2 linked regions of the Caenorhabditis elegans genome follow. The protein of the gene in region 2 interacts with the protein of the main gene of each other region in a pairwise test. Each region holds a gene or a part of one and is shown on either strand. Other genes may lie near its edges. The genes, in order: memi-3 and gad-1.

The links.
Region 1: the proteins of gad-1 (region 2) and memi-3 interact in a two-hybrid assay, tested with the Caenorhabditis elegans proteins (2 studies listed by BioGRID).

The regions. Positions count from the first base shown.
Region 1 is NC_003282.8:11,401,332-11,405,085, reverse strand, and holds memi-3 (MEiosis-to-MItosis transition associated), read left to right. Parts: upstream 1-1,747; 5' UTR 1,748-1,748; coding exon 1,749-2,228; intron 2,229-2,275; coding exon 2,276-2,461; intron 2,462-2,510; coding exon 2,511-2,702; intron 2,703-2,752; coding exon 2,753-2,929; 3' UTR 2,930-3,141; downstream 3,142-3,754. Other genes in the region: cyp-31A2 (CYtochrome P450 family), read right to left, coding at 1-245, 294-388, 435-531, 575-975, 1,022-1,114; his-65 (Histone H2A), read right to left, coding at 3,611-3,754.
Region 2 is NC_003283.11:6,430,633-6,435,362, forward strand, and holds gad-1 (Gastrulation defective protein 1), read right to left. Parts: upstream 2,865-4,730; 5' UTR 2,856-2,864; coding exon 2,663-2,855; intron 2,616-2,662; coding exon 1,870-2,615; intron 1,822-1,869; coding exon 1,643-1,821; intron 1,599-1,642; coding exon 1,279-1,598; intron 1,232-1,278; coding exon 807-1,231; 3' UTR 688-806; downstream 1-687. Other genes in the region: erfa-1 (Eukaryotic peptide chain release factor subunit 1), read left to right, coding at 3,528-3,637, 3,684-4,009, 4,056-4,730.

The sequences.
Region 1 (3,754 bases), on a different chromosome or scaffold from region 2:
CCCACATTAATCCTGTAGATGTTGTATCGTGACCCTCAAACATAAATGTGTCAACTTCTGCTTGAACATCTGTTTCGTCCATTTGTCCACTTTTCACCATTTCGAGAAGAAGATCCAAAAATGCGAGACGACCTTCCATCTTATAATCATTCTCCTGTAGAGCTTCCTTTCTCTCGACAATCACTTTCTTTGTGAAATCATGGAGAATACGAAGACATTTTTCATGAGTCCGTCCGTCCTCTGTTCTGAAAATTACAAATTAATTCACCTTATTAATGATAAAACTACCGTACAAATTATAAATAAATGAATTCCACATCAACGGATTATTTGTTCTTTTTGAAATCAGTTTATTGATTGTGTGCACCGCCCATACATACTCGTTATTCTGAAAAAGTATTTAGAAATTTTGAGATTCGAGTTGTTTACCCAACCTCCGCGAGTTGAGCACCAATAGCTTTCCCCATAGAGGTTTCGCAAATGATGTCAAGAGTGCAAAGGGTTATAACGGAGAGAACATCAACTTCTTCACTGAAAAGAAACATTTGAACGAGTTATCAATTAAAATTCTTACTCTGCTCCGAGGCAACACAATTTCTGAACCAAAATCTTTGATTGCTCGTTAAAAATCGGCAAAAAATCCTTGAGAATATCATAATGGAATGTTGGTGTCAATAGTTTTCGTTTTGGACGCCATTGTTCCTTTTGGCTCGTCAAAATACTGATTCCAAGCCATGGCTCGAGCAAAACGTATGCGAACCCTTTGTTCAGATGTTTCGTCGATGAGAAAATTGGTTCAACAAGATCGGCAGAGTAGAGCATCAGACATGGAAATGGGCCAATCCAGAGAAGACACATCCGTGGATCTGGATACAAATATCCCATTCCAATCACTTGGTTCATGAATCCCTCTGGATCGGGCTTGGTGATGAGTCCGTGACCAACGATTGGATATGATCGTGGCTGATTGAGGTGCTGGAAATTTATTTGAGTTATCTTTGAATGCATTTTGCAATCTGACCTTCAAAACTTGACGCATTCTCAAATGTTTGTAGAGAAGCCAAGCGATCACAGTCGCCATAGCGAGAAGTACAGCGGGGATGATGACCCCCATTGCAAAACCTTCTGAAATAATTTATTTGTGCGAAGAAACGAGCAAAACGCGTTTAAAACATGAGAAAAAGCGTTTGTTAAGCTTTGGTTCTAAAAAAAGAAAAAAAACGAACAGTTTTTGAATCAACATTCAAATTTCACGCATGTCGTAGTGAGACCCATCTGAAAATCGCCATGCGCCTTTAAAGAGTACGGTAGGCTCAAAAAAATTCTAAAACTGATTTTTGTTGTTTTCTGATATATCATGATATTTAAATCTTGATTTAATGATTAAAAACTTTCAATCGCGTTAATTTTTCAACAAAAAAAAAAGAAAACAAATCCAAAATTATTTTTCAATAAGTATTGTACTTTTTATGAATGCATCGCCTATTTGACCTATTCGATCTCCCCCGCGAAAAGTCAGCGCAACAATTGTGTTATTTTAGGCCCAACGAAAATTTTTGATTGTGAACATTCTTCTACTTTGCTGATGTTCAGAGAGCCGTAATGAAATTTCATAAATATTGTTTTATCGGTGAAGCATTATTAATCTGTTAATCACTTGAGTACATTGTTTTTTTTAAAGTTTTATCTTTAATTTTTGCTTCGAATTCTTATTTTTCCATTAATTTTTCAAACCAACGTTTTTTAGAATGTCAGCTCCGTCCCGTACCGTTCTTCGCGAATTGACGGCGACCAAATACGTGGCCAACTACACCGATGAATATCAATTGGAAACCGCTCGAGCCGGTTGCTCAGCCCTCCCACCACAACCCAACATCAATCATGATGCAATTATCGAAGGGCATGGAGAAGACGTGGAGCTCGTCGAGGATAAGAACTACCGTTCCCTGCATCGTATCGATGAAACTCCAAAGCTCGTCGACAAGAAGCCGAGCAAGGCAATCATCCGCGATGAAGCTGTCAAAGTGCTAAGAGACATTCAAACAATGCCGATTGAAAATCTCCGTCTCAAGCGCTACGACTTCTTCTCGCAAAGATGGTTCAACACGACCAGAGAATCGGAGAAAGCGCTTGTCGAGCACGTGCTCCTTCATCCGAACCAGCGACCACACTATTTCGCCGCTCAGTGCCGCATGCTTTCGGCCGAAGATATCTCCAGTCTGATTCTAGTTAGTTTCTTGAGTATATTTTTCCCAAAAAAATTTTTTTATTTCAGACTTCCCTCCTGGCCGAGCCGAAAGAGACGGGTCAAAATGTGGTTCGATTTGCGATCCAGGCAAAGACTGCAATGCCGTTCCAGCAATTGTTTGCAATTCTCGAAAAACTGGAGATGGAAATCGAAGGCTTCCAGATGACAGACAGCTTTGTGGTGGCAACATTGATCCGATCACAGAGCAAGAGTGTACGTAAAATAGTTTTCTATTTCACACCGATAACTTTTCATATTTCAGACTACCACTCGTCGCCTGCGAACAACAAACTGCCGGGAATACGGAAATCTCGAGCCAGGACTCGATTCACAAGGCCGACTGATGGCCTCGACTGCATCAATCACGTGTTCGATTCGAGGAAAGCGCCACGTGGAAACGAGGATCGTGTACAATAACAACTCGAGCGCCAGGGATCCTTTCCGGAGATATAGAGTGAGTTGAATAGCAATAATTTATCGGTTTCCAATTTATAACGTTTTCAGTACATCGAATTGGAGCAAACGGTGAAGTGCATGAACCGACGAGTGCAGATTGTCGAAGAGCCAGTCGAATTTCATGAATTCGAGGTCGAAAACGATATGGTCTCGTTGAGAAATGGAATGGTGCTTGTCGACGACCTAATCTCGTTCCTCGAAACATTCGAACTGGATGAAGAGTGAATTCATTTGTCCAATAATTAGTTATAATGTGCATAAGTTTTTGTATATATCTATCTGAATAACTAAGTGGTTCCTGTTAAATATATCAACTAACTTTCCCCTATTTTATTTTCCATTCCTCCAACTCACCATGACCCTCGAATATTTTGTTTATGTTCAACATGTATATTGCTTGAATTAACTTTACCAAATCATGAACTGGTTGATTTAAAAAATCTTTTTAACATGACTCTGAAAAATTTTTCAAATTAAATTCTTCTGATAAGCTGATAATTTTCTGGTTTCAGATATCAAAATTTTTATACAGCCGGGTACAATGATTTACGATATGGAAGATGCCTCCAGCCTAAAAAGATGAATTCGAAATTAGAATTAATGAACGCAAATTTCTGAAAACGCTGGCAATTCCAGCTTGCGACATGCAACTTTTCGATACTTGAGGCTTGATAGGCAATTGGCCACATTACATAGTGATCATAATTCTGCAATTTCTAAATGTCGTTTCCTGACCGATATCTTGGCTCGAAAACATGTGAAAACTTATTGACAGTAATACTGATTGAATTCAAGCAAACATATTATTCAAAATAAATGTAATATGAAATATCTTTAGGATTTTTTATATTTGTGGCCCTAAAGAGGGCCGTTGGGTTCGGTGGGTTTGTTTAAAGAAGAAAGTTCTTACTCCTTATCTCCTCCAGTCTTCTTTGGGAGAAGAACGGCTTGGATGTTTGGAAGAACTCCTCCTTGGGCGATGGTCACTCCGGCCAAAAGCTTGTTGAGCTCCTCGTCGTTGCGGACAGCGAGTTGAAGATGTCTTGGGGC
Region 2 (4,730 bases):
TTTTCAACCGTAACCTATCATTATTTTAACAGACAGAAAGTTCGACCAAAAAGAAGATAATTATCGATATAACCGTCGAGAACTTGGATGTTTCTCGGGAGGGAAAGGGAAACTTCAAGGACGAAATTTCACGGCGTTGTTTTGTTTGCTACTAGCTACAATTTCTCGGCACTGAAACAGGAAGAAAATGTGAAAAGGAAATTGTAGAGTAAACAGTTGTGGAACTGTAATTTCGGATTGCATGTTTGTTCTACACACTTCAGCAAAAAGTGACCCTTTGAATAGGCTGCACATGGTATCAGTTGTGGGAAAATGTATGATAAGAAAGAAATGGAATGGAGGCCATGTCAATAATTTCTTCTTTAAATATAGTTTTCTCAATTTTTGGAATTAAATCCATAATAGAAACGTTTTTAAAAATACAGTTTCAGGTTTTTGGATTAGGAGATCAAAAGCGAAACATCCGAACCGGGTTCAATTTTAAAAGTGAACCTGATCCCGATTGGATACAATTCTTGCGGCAAAAGTGTAGCCATCGTCCACCGGACACTGACACAAACGACCACATATTGTTGAAATGGGGGGGAGTTGGAAGAATGGGAAAGATAGAAGTGAGCAGCATGCTAGAGTGTAGCTAGCGTTAGATATTTGGACAAGACAATGACTATGGCGAACACACAATTTCTCCAACATCATGTGATCATTGACTCTATATTTATTGGGACACAAAAAATAGAGAAAAAAATAGGAAAACAATATTACAAGAGGGAGACAGACAGATGAAAAACAAAAAATTAATGCAACGACTACTTCGTTCTCGGCATTTTGAAGACAGGCTGTAGCTCTTCGTCATCTTGATCTTCTGGCTCGACTGCAGTTTCTTGGAAAATCTTCTTTGGCTGTGTCTTTCGATACGCTTTATCAATGTACAATGGATTCTCTTCGGCGTCTTTAGCATGTTTCAGGATGCTTGCACGAACATCGGTATCTTTTAGGAACTCGGCATTACGAGCAGTTCCGATTTGCTTTGCCAAATACGAATGAAGACTTCCACCACTTGCAGCCACACGTCCATTTGCGCTCTTTCCGTTGATAGGCATATCTGCAGGCTTCCGGAACTCGGGACGAAGCTTGTTATCCTGCATTCGGAGATACTTCTTGATTCTCCATCCAGTGACTTCCTTTTCTTCTCCTTCCTCTCCGCGCGGTTGGAACATTTCGAGGGAAAGAGCTGAAATATGAAGATAAATATTTTTCGAAAAAAATTGTTTAACTTACGAGAAAGAACCATATCTTCTCGAACAACTTCAGATGCGCGATTTCTTTTGAGTGGCTTCGTCACACATGACATAACTCCTCGCTGTGACATCGTTTGATCGTAGTACACGTGAATGGTGCCATCCGAGAGTCCAGCGATAATTTGATTCAATCGCGGGTGCCACTGAATTCGGTGGCACGAAATTCCAGGGTAATCAATTTTATAGACAAGATCAAATGTCATTGGATCAAAGAATTGTAATGTTCCAGGTGTATCCTTGTTGGGTGACGATGTACCAGTGAAGACAACCTCGGCACGAGGGGAGAATCCGCAATCAGTACTACAAAAAATATACTTATGGTGAAGTTTTTAATAGAAGGATACCTTTTGAAAGCGTTTTCGAGACCGGTTTTCACAAGAAGCGGCTCTTTTGGGTTATCTAAGCTCCACATCTTCAGAGTGTCATCAAAACCTCTAGACAGTAATCTCTTTGAATCGGGCGAAAAAGCAATAGAAGTAATCGAGCCGTTGTGAGCTTTGCGTACAAGGTAATTTACATTGACCTAAAATTAAAATATGAGAATAAACAGTGTTTTTGAACTTCAACTTACATATTGCGATCCATACTTCCATGCTTGAACAGATCCGTCATCACAACCGGCGGCAATCCATTTTCCGTCAGGAGAAAACGTGCAAACTTGCGGGCTGACACGTTTTCCATTAGCTCCTTTTGTTTTGATGACTTTCCTGTGCTTGTTGATGCATTTGGTGATTACTTTATGATCATCGAGGTTCCATAGTCGTAGACTTCCATCATCAGAACAAGAGATAAACTCGTTCTTGTTTAGTGGATTGAATTCGACACAGTTAACTGTTGCTGTGTGTCCTTTAGTGATGTTTAAATCAATAATATACTGATCTCCACGAACTGTTTCAGACCATTGTTTTCCTGCTCGATCCAGTAGGCGAATGATAGCTTCTCCACTAGCTACTACAAGAGTTTCGCCGTTCGGAGAGAATGCCAGGGAATTGATAACGTGACTTTCTGCAGGCAGAAGCTCTTTGTCGTATCTCATTGACATGTCCATTTTTTGAAAATCGAACAGCTTCACGTAATAGTCAAGCCCTCCACTGGCAAACCGAACACCAGGAGGCTCAACCCGAAGTGCACTGATGGCTTGAGTGCCATGGCTGATCTTCGCTTCACATGCAGCTGGAATCAGTTTGATGATGGAGATTGCTTCTGTCTCGTCAAAATCGCTATCATCACTATCTTCGGGACCTTCAGCTCGAGACGAGGAGGGGCCCGCTTCAGACTGTTGCATTTGGAATCCTGGAGGTAGATCTGGCATGAAATCTGGAAAAAACAAATTTGAAATAATTAAAACATTATATTCGGCTTACCATCTTCATCATCAGATACAGCTGAAGAAGAAACACCAGATTCTGATTTAGAAGACACCGATACCGACTGCGGAACGTGAGTTGGTTCCTCAGTTCTGGGAGCATTGCTTATCGTTTGCGCGAACATTGCTTGGAGGTCAAAGACGCGTGCCTTCTTTTCAGAATTCTTTTTTGGAGCCGTATTATCATCCATTGTGGTGATCTGAAAGAATTATTGAAATTCGTTTTCATCTATTAGGCGGTAACGGGAAAAAAAGAGTTAATAACGAAAAGAAACGTGTAATACAACCAATATAATGAACTGCCGTGGTACATATATAATATTTTGGCGAAAAAAACTAATAAATTCTGGAAACAGTCCTGGAGTTCTGATGAAAGCTGAAAAATGTTTTCGAATTTCGAACATTGAGGACGTGGCTGACTTGTTTCGGAGACTAGGCCGCGGAGAAAGTGTGGACAATCGGACATTACTTCGCGCCGAGACCCTTCCACAAACCGTATTCGTGTTCCTTGGCACCATTTAAATTCTTTTCCCATTTTCAGTTTTTAAAGTTTTTACGCGTCATCAATTATCGATTTTTGCAGTTTAAATTGTTCAGAAATGTTTTATTCATCATTTTGTCATTGCTCAGAGAAAACGAAATACATTTTCTTCTAAAAAAATCAAATTGAAACCATTGCAACATGTTGCACAATATTCTAATTTTCCATCACAACTCTGTGCAATGTAGAATAACCAGTTCTCTATAAATATCTTTTTTTTCGCATTTTTGAGTTTCTTCCCCGAATTAATTACTTTAACTCTCTTTTCGTGTTTTATATAATACAATTACAGGTAATCGGTGACGTGCAGCACAAATAGAATATGAGCGCTCCCGCAGCAGGTGCTACCGCCGGAGGCGATGACGCCGCCGATAGAAATGTCGAAATGTGGAAAATTAAACGGCTCATCAAAAGTTTGGAATTAGCCAGAGGGTAACTATTTTCGTGAAGCGTTTATTTTACATTTGTTTTTTTACAGAAATGGAACTTCTATGATTTCGCTGATCATTCCACCAAAAGATCAAGTGGCTAGAATCCAGAGAATGTTGGCCGAAGAGTACGGAACGGCATCTAACATCAAGTCTCGTGTCAACAGACTTTCCGTTTTGGGAGCTATCACATCAGTACAGGGAAGATTGAAACTCTACAACAAAGTCCCACCAAATGGATTGGTCGTTTACTGTGGAACAATCATGACCGACGAAGGAAAGGAAAAGAAAGTTAACATTGATTTTGAGCCATTCAAAGCAATCAATACTTCATTGTATCTCTGCGACAACAAATTTCACACCGAAGCTCTTCAAGGTATTTCTAATTTTCATCATGCATCATAAAATATACCATTTTTCAGGTCTTCTTGCTGACGATAACAAGTTCGGATTTATCATTATGGATGGAAACGGTTGTCTGTTCGGAACACTCCAAGGAAACACTCGTGAAGTTCTGCACAAGTTCACTGTCGATCTTCCAAAGAAGCACGGTAGAGGAGGTCAATCTGCTGTCCGTTTTGCTCGTCTCCGTAATGAGAAGCGGCACAATTACGTCCGTAAAGTAGCTGAAAATTCGGTGGAACAATTTATCAAGAACGACAAGGTTACAGTTGCTGGACTTATTCTTGCTGGTAGTGCAGATTTCAAGACAGAGTTGGGACAATCTGATATGTTTGATCAAAGACTTCAAGCCAAGATGATCAAGACTGTCGATATTGCTTATGGTGGTGAAAATGGTTTCAACCAAGCTATTGAACTTGCTGCCGATACGCTGGCAAGTGTTAAGTTCATTCAGGAAAAGAAACTGATTGGTGGATATTTCGATGAAATCAGCCAAGACACTGGAAAATACGTTTTCGGAGTTAAAGACACTCTTGCCGCACTTGAAATGGGAGCTATTGAAACTCTCATCTGCTGGGAGAATTTGGATATTGTTCGGTACAAGATGAAAAATTCACTCGGAGAGGACATTCTTCTGAATCTGAGACCTGACGAGGAGAAGGACAAATCTCATTTCACCGACAGTGAAACTGGAC